2 linked regions of the Macaca fascicularis genome follow. The protein of the gene in region 1 purifies or fractionates together with the protein of each later gene. This does not show direct contact. Links are inferred from orthologs where the notes say so. Each region holds a gene or a part of one and is shown on either strand. Other genes may lie near its edges.

Region 1 (3,745 bases):
GGACTGTCACACTGACTCAGCACTGTGATTTCTTGTTGAATGTCCTCTATCTCATCTTCAGCTTCTTCCAGATCAATGATCTTTATGGCAACCACTTTCTGAGTCCGATTGTCAATGCCTTTGAACACCTCGCCAAAGGAGCCCTTCCCAATTTTCTCTAGTTTTGTAAAAAGCTCTTCTGGATCTGCCTTTAGGTTCTGTAGAGAGAAGGAAGAGAAAAGGGAAACTTCAGTCCCTCAAAGCACCACAACTCCTTTGTCATTTTATATGTAATGTTATAGACCACACAGTCTTCCAGGGACTCATCTATTTTCTCTGTCCAGCCATCAGGCTGGTAGTGACCACAGCTCTGCAGGGTCAGGGCGTAAGATTCCTAGGTCTCACCTACACATGCGCATCAGACTATGAAAGAGAGCAAGCATCCAGTAAGAACAATTACCCAGCTAGATTAGAAAACATGGAAAAGATGCCAACTATTGTATAATGAGAGTAAATTAAAATCTAAGTGCTTATTTGAACATGTTAGGATACATAGATTTAATGAAAAATCACTCTTGTCTAAGCAAAAATTCACTTTTCTCCCCACCCAATCCCCACAAGTTCCGGAATTCAAATGGATTTTTACTAAAATGTTAACCAGCTATATCACAGAATAGAAAAAAAAATGTATACCGTAAGTATGCCTCTTCATGAGTAGTACTGCCTTTACCAAAACGGTAACAATCTAACCAGATTCCAGAAAATAATAAGCAGCCTGTTTCCTTTTCTCACATAAACGCTGTACCCCGGAAATAGCCTCTAAAAGCTCTTAACCACCTGATTAGTTACACACACATATGTAGTATACAGTTCCAAGAAGGCTAGCTGTCAGAGTTCAAGCTCTCATCCTAACAGCTACACAGTACAGAGTCGTGTGAACAGCCGAGTTCTCAAGGGGGGCAGTAACCGGTCCTCCACAGGGCCTGTCTGTCAGGAAACTGAGAAGCGATCCTGACGTTTAGCAAGGCAAGACAGGGACGCTGCACATCTCCCCACAAATAACTGCACAGCCCAAAATGCCAATGGCACCCTGGTGACAAGCAATAGCCTGGAACCCCACAGAGCAAGGAAGGACTCTAAGAACTGCCACCGCTGCAGACACATCTTCCCTCAGAAATGGTCCATAGGGAAGAGAATGCCAGGCCAACCCTCCAAATCTGTCAGTCCTTTGAAGAAGCTGAACTACTAGGGAAAGCAACAAGCACACAGGGAGGACAGGGAGGCCTGAGAAGGAGGTAAAGAAAGAGAACGAGAAGAAAGATGACACAGAAGAGGGTATCCACAGAGCAGTGCATGTGAGGTGGGTCACACACACAGCACTATGGCAACTGCAGTGCATCATGAGTGAGGCCAGCCTCCGGGGCCATCAGGGGCTACCCAGCCACAGCTCTCCAAGGTGAGACACACTGAGTTCCGAGCAGCTACTCTCCAAGAGAACTGCTGAAAGCCAGTCAGCCCATTTCTGGTTTGCAGGCCTTACTGTGCTACAGCGTGTCCACCATGGCAACAACGCACATATCATGACAACGACACATGAGCAGATAGCCACAGTGACCTCCTGCACACAGGGGAGCAGTGCCCCTGCCCCATGTTGGTTTGAGGCTGCACATCAAACAACACAAAAGCTCACAAAACCCACCAACCATCTTAGTACAAAATGAACCAAGTAAGGCTTGTGTGCTGGACATGTACCCAATGGGAAACGCATCCTGGGGTTACCAAGAAAGCAGGACAGGCCAGAGGCCAGGCACTGAGCGCTCAGCCCACACCGGAAGGTCATGGCCAGCGTAATCCGAGGTCTAACGAGCTGCCAGGGATTATAAGGACTACAGTTTTAGCCATGATCCCCCTTGGCTCCTAAAAAGCTACACAAACGTCCGTTGTGTTAAAAATGAAACTATCTATCCAACTTCATTTCCACTTAAAGTACTTCACTAAACATATCAATTGGGTGATTAATCAAGAGGCATTTAATTTTTTTTCCTGAACAGTTGCTAAACTGTTTTCAGTCATGGCACTACATTTCAAACATCTTAAGACAGTCATACTTAGGAGGAAGCCTGGCTGTGTACTTACAGGTTTTAAAAACATAGTCCAAGACCCCTGGGTTTACCAAGATAGTCAATGACCCACAGTCAGAGCCCAGGATAATTTCCTCAAGTGAAGACTGTTTTCGGAGCTAGTGAGCAGCCCTACAATATCCTCCTCTTCCTATGTTCAAGCTTGTCAATACCAGTTGAGTATCACCAGTCACTTTTGGGAATGCCACAGAATGCCCGGGTGGGTACCTCCCATCTGACTCACCCTGCACGCGGCCTTGAGCCTGCACCTCCACCTCCTCTAACACAAGCTGCTAGGATGAGAAGCTTTTGGGGATGCGGGGGAAGCAGCGCTCATCTCCTTTTTTAGCTATAATGAAACATACCCCGTTTTCGGCAGCTACTATCTTCGTTGCTTTCATGCCCTCTCCCTTACCGTGCTCCCTCCAGGGTGAGGTAGGGCGGCCCTCCTTTTATTCAAGGCCAGTCCCCAAAGCTGGGCTCTGGAGTCCATCCTTCTCTCCTCCAGGATACGGCTTCGTCAGTAAACCCCTTCTCGGCTCCTTCTTCCATTCACCCCTCTGCTGGCTCTCTGCCCTTGGCAACATGCTCCAGTTTCTCCCATTTAAAACAAACGACAGCACCCTCCCTAACCCATAAGCCCTCCTCCTCCACCCTCTCCTTCCTCTGGAGTCCCTTCAAAGTCATCTGGACCTGCCTGGTCCTCCCCACCACTGCAGCCTGGCTCCGCTCTGGCTCCGGTCACCAGTGCTGCAGTGTCGTGTCTGAGCCTCGTCAACCACGCCCTCCCCCTCCTCTGGGTAACTTTCCAGTCCTTCAGCATCCACAGCCCTGCTCCCGCTGGCTTCTTCCAGTCCCCCTAGTTCCAGAAAGATCTTCACAGAGATTCCAACTTGACTCCACCTTGTCTGGCCCTTACTCCAGGTCCCAGCCTGGGCCTCTACTCCTTCTCCCCACAGATGCCCAGTGTTTCAGGGTCTGGGGCCCTCGTTTCCCAAACCTGGGACATCTGACATTCTTGCAGAAATATATGGGAGTTCAGAAGAGAACAAGGTGAATAACCCATGTTTTTAAAACACCCCAATGGATTCTGGTCAATCACCACCTTGAAGGAAAGGCTGTGATCAAGACTCATGTACATGACAGCTTTCAAAGCGCTAGCTCAGGCCTGCCTTCTGAACAGGAACCCCCGGACCAGCTGCTTCCCAGACATTCTCTCTTTCTACCCAGACATTTCAAGCTCAACATGTGTGCACGGAATTCGCCGCTTCCCCTGCTGGACTGTCGTCCCACAGTCGCCCTCTGCTCTGCGCTGTGTCCTTTGTTCAGCTGCAAGCTGAGGAGTCAGGGGCTGTGTCTCATGCACCTCTACACTCCTGTGCCCGGGTATAACAAATGGCATGGGACTGTGGTCAGGAAATGTCCCCTGAGCAATAAGAAAACCCCAGACTCACCCTGGCTTGAACAGGACACAGATGAGACACCTCAAAGGCTATCCTACACACAGACAGGGGGCCCTGGAGGGAAGGGGCAGCCCTGCTGACAAGGGTGAGAAGGGTGGTAAGAGCCTGCCTTCCTGAGGTCAGGAGAGCCGGTTAGCACTGTCATTCCTGGGAGCGGTGATTCTCAGACCTGGGTGAGCCTCA
Region 2 (3,745 bases), on another chromosome or scaffold:
AGCAGTTGCTCATGTTACGTAACTGAATTTAGGTCCTCCCACCAGCATAGCAAAGCCAAACACTGACATTGGGGTTTGCAGTGAAAGGGAGGCATTTATTGCATCACACCAACCAAGAAGAATCAGGCAGCTCATGCTTAAGACCCCAACTCCCTGATGGTTTACAGGTAAGAGGTTTTTTGTGTGCTTTTTTTTTTTTTTTTTGAAATGGAGTTTCGCTCTTGTCACCCAGGCTGGAGTGCAATGGCGAGATCTCAGCTCACTGCAACCTCCATCTCCTGATTTCAAGTAATTCATCTGCCTCAGCCTCCTGAGTACAGGCGCCTGCCACCATGCCCAGGAAGTTTTTGTATTTTTAGTAGAGAAGGGGTTTCACAATGTTGGCAGGCTGGTCTCCAACTCCTGGCCTCGGCCTCCCAAAGTGCTGGGATTACAGGCATGAGCCCTTGCACCCAGCACAGGTAAGGGTTTTTAAAGGCAGGGAGGCAGATGTTACAGGCAAAGTCATAAATCAATACATGGAGGCTATACGTGGGTTTGATCTAAAAAGCCAGGATATCTGAAGTAGGGACCCACAGGTCATAAGTGGATTCAAAGATTTTCTGATTTGTAATTGGCTAAGGAGGCAAAGCTTTGAGAATTCTTCCAGGCTCCTCAGGAAGAAATTTAGAACAAAGATAGGTAGTTTGAGATCTCCATGATAGTGGACACCATTTTCCATTTGGTGAGGTCCAGGTTTCTGAAAAACAACTCAGGGACATATGTTGTCTCCAGTTTATATAGGGAAGCAAACATTTTGTGAATCTAACGTCCTTGGCTACTGTCTTAAGCTATTATTACCTTCTTGCTTATCAGGTTGCTCATTGACTTATTGAGGAAGTTAGGTGCCTGGAATGTCCCTTCGGGGAACTCAAGATTTTCCTTTATTTCCATGCTTGGGGAGGGTGGGGGTGGGAGTGCCTAGAAGGCCCCTAAGAGGGGTCCCTGCTGTGTCTCACTCAATAAATATTTGTTGAATGAACAAATCATTACAACTCAGTACACATTGCAGAAAACACAGCCAAGAGCGCTGGAGCTAGAAGGGCCACAGATTATCCTACAGAGCAATCATTTCACTTTTCTAATGTTGAAAGGGAGGATTCAAGATGTTAGGGCTACAGGCAAGCCTGGAAATAATTAATTTACTCCACCATTATTGAATGCCTACTATTGAGTGCTAGACTCTGGGGAGACAATGTTAAGGGAAGCCCAAGTTTTCCAATTCCCTGTTCCGAGCACTGAAAAAGCACTGCAGGAAGCTAAAGTGAGGACAAAGTTCCCGGAGATCAGGATATCTAAAGGGAGAACCAGCAGAGCTTGGTCTTGGGCAGGGTTGGGACAGGAGGGATCCTGGCCTCCTCCGACCGTTTCTCCGCCAAGCCACGCGAGGGCGCCGTTCTGCCCCTAGCGCGCCGTGTCCCGGCGGCGCCGCCGCCTGCTCGCCTTTTCCCGGCGGAAATGCCCGAGCGATGACGGAAACCCGGAGGGAGGGAAGAGAAAGAGCGAGAGAAGGGGAAAGATACCCGGGAGAGGCCGGCAGGCGTGAGGCGGGCCTGAAGCGGTAGCTGGCGGCCTTCGTCCGGCGAGAGCTAGTCCGAGGGCCCGCGCCGCCCTCCCAGCACCTCCCCGCGTCCTTCACCGACTCCTGCGGCGCGCGGCCGGGCGGGGAAGGGCGGGCGGGGGTCTCCTACAGGCCTCGCGCTCGGAGCCGCCTGCTGGGCTTGGGCGGGGCGCGGGGACCGCGGCCGCCCTCCCCGGCTCGGTCCTCCCCTTGTGGGATCTGGCGACGGCGGCTGAGGGAGAGGGGAGCGGCGCCCGGGCCGGGGCCGGGGGCGGGTGGGGAGGGGGGAGGGCAGCGGCCGGGCCGGGGGTCGGGATCCGCATCGGGATCGGGCCGCCATGGACGACAAGGCGTTCACCAAGGAGCTGGACCAGTGGGTCGAGCAGCTGAACGAGTGTAAGCAGCTGAACGAGAACCAAGTGCGGACGCTGTGCGAGAAGGTGAGGGCGCCGCGGGGGCGAGTGCGGGAGCGCGGAACTGGGACGGGCCGCAGCTTTCCTGCCCGCCCCGGCCCGTCCGCACGCTGGCCCCGGGCCCGGCGCGGCCCACCGGGGGCCCGCGGGGCTGTGGGTCCGGCTCCGGCGTCCACCCGGGCGGCCGGCCCAGCCGTTCCGGCCCCGGGGCGTTGGGCTGCCCTCGCCCGGCCCCTCTGCCTCCGCGTGGTACACGCCCCACGCCCCCGGCCCAGATCCTGGTGGTGGGAGGCTCGAGTGCGGGCGGGCGGGCGGGGAACCATAGCCCCCGGAGCCAAGCCGGAGGTTGGTCGGGGTCGCCTGCGCTCCACTGGAGTTCCTGCCACTCTGGCATTTCCCGAGTGGAATAACGAAAGCGACATCCGAAAAAGGACCATTTTCAGACCAGTTTCTGAAAATGCACCTAAAATTAACCAGAATGTCGTGCCTATTAATGAACTTGTTAATAAATGTAGAATTTTTGTCAGGTGAACGGGGCACCTCGGAAATCACTAACTCAAGCCGGGCGCGGTGGCTCACGCCTGTGGTCACAGCTACTCGGGAGGCCGAAGCGGGAGGATTGCTTGAGCCCAGGAGTTAAAGACCAGCCTGGAGCGCAGAAGTTAGAGACCAGTGAGGCCCCGTCTCCACAAAAATTTTTTTTAAAAAATTAGCAGGGCGTGAGGGCGGGTGCCTGTAATCTCAACTATTCAGGAGGCTGAGGTGGGAGGATCGCTTGAGCCCAGGAGGTGGAGGCTGGCTGCAGTGAGCCGAGATCGCGTCACTGCACTCCAGCCTGGGCGACAGAGCGAGACCTTGTCTCAAAAAAAAAAAAAAAAAAAAATCACTGACTCTTGAATGTGTCAAGCGTTTGTTTGTGGAGAGGTAGGCGTGATGGCCAACTGTGATTTTTAAAATAGAGGTTGACTTTGGTGGAAACAGATGGTGACTGGTCTTTGCGTTGAGCGGCTCTTGGAAGTAAAGCGTTGATTCAGAAACGAGAGCTGGTCTTAAGTTTGGGAACAGTGTTTGCTGGAAATAAATGGGATGTGTGTTTTCATGCACGATAACACTTTGCAGAAAGTTATTTTTGTTTTTAATATATATAAAGTTTTTTTCTTTTCCAAAGAATAATAAAACATGCAGGTGATCAATTTCGTTCTTGTACATCGTGTGTGATCTTCACTTTCTGAATTCTGTATCCATTGTTTTCTTAACTCCTGGAATTATTTCGATCTCTCCATCTTTAAAGTCTAGAGTTTTCCAAATTCATCCTTTACAAGGTGGACTAAATAATTTTCATGTATTTTTATGTTAAAAATTCTCACTTGAAGTCCATGAAGAAGTAAAGATGTTATTTTAAGATGTAATGTATACAATTTTCTTAACCATAATGTTTGGAAGTCATGACGTCGCAGAAGTAGGTGAAGAAAAGATTTTGTTAGTCTAATTTTAGGACACTCTTAAAATCATGAAATTTACTTAGGAAAGGAGCACTAATAGATGGTGTTAAGTTAAAATAGTATTTTTAACGGGTGTAATGTTGGCTGGGGCCTTTGTGTATTAAGTAACTGTTAACACAGGAGGATTTATTTTTGTATATAGAAGTGCCAAGCAGGTGGTACTTTTCTCTTTCTGAAACAAACTGCTTACTTGTGACTTCAGTCGACGTTCATTTTTATTGTGATAACCT

What was found. Proteins that work in one complex are often made in the same cells at the same time.
Region 2: the proteins of STK24 (region 1) and PPP2CB purify together in Homo sapiens (affinity purification with mass spectrometry; 5 studies listed by BioGRID and IntAct, with this or other methods). This does not show direct contact. The link is inferred for Macaca fascicularis from reciprocal best matches to the Homo sapiens genes STK24 and PPP2CB.

What each region holds. Positions count from the first base shown.
Region 1 is NC_088391.1:89,413,913-89,417,657, forward strand, and holds the start of STK24 (serine/threonine-protein kinase 24), read right to left. Parts: upstream 2,815-3,745; 5' UTR 2,593-2,814; coding exon 2,515-2,592; intron 198-2,514; coding exon 1-197. UniProt on the Homo sapiens protein: Serine/threonine-protein kinase that acts on both serine and threonine residues and promotes apoptosis in response to stress stimuli and caspase activation.
Region 2 is NC_088382.1:34,024,950-34,028,694, reverse strand, and holds the start of PPP2CB (serine/threonine-protein phosphatase 2A catalytic subunit beta isoform), read left to right. Parts: upstream 1-1,528; 5' UTR 1,529-1,938; coding exon 1,939-2,040; intron 2,041-3,745.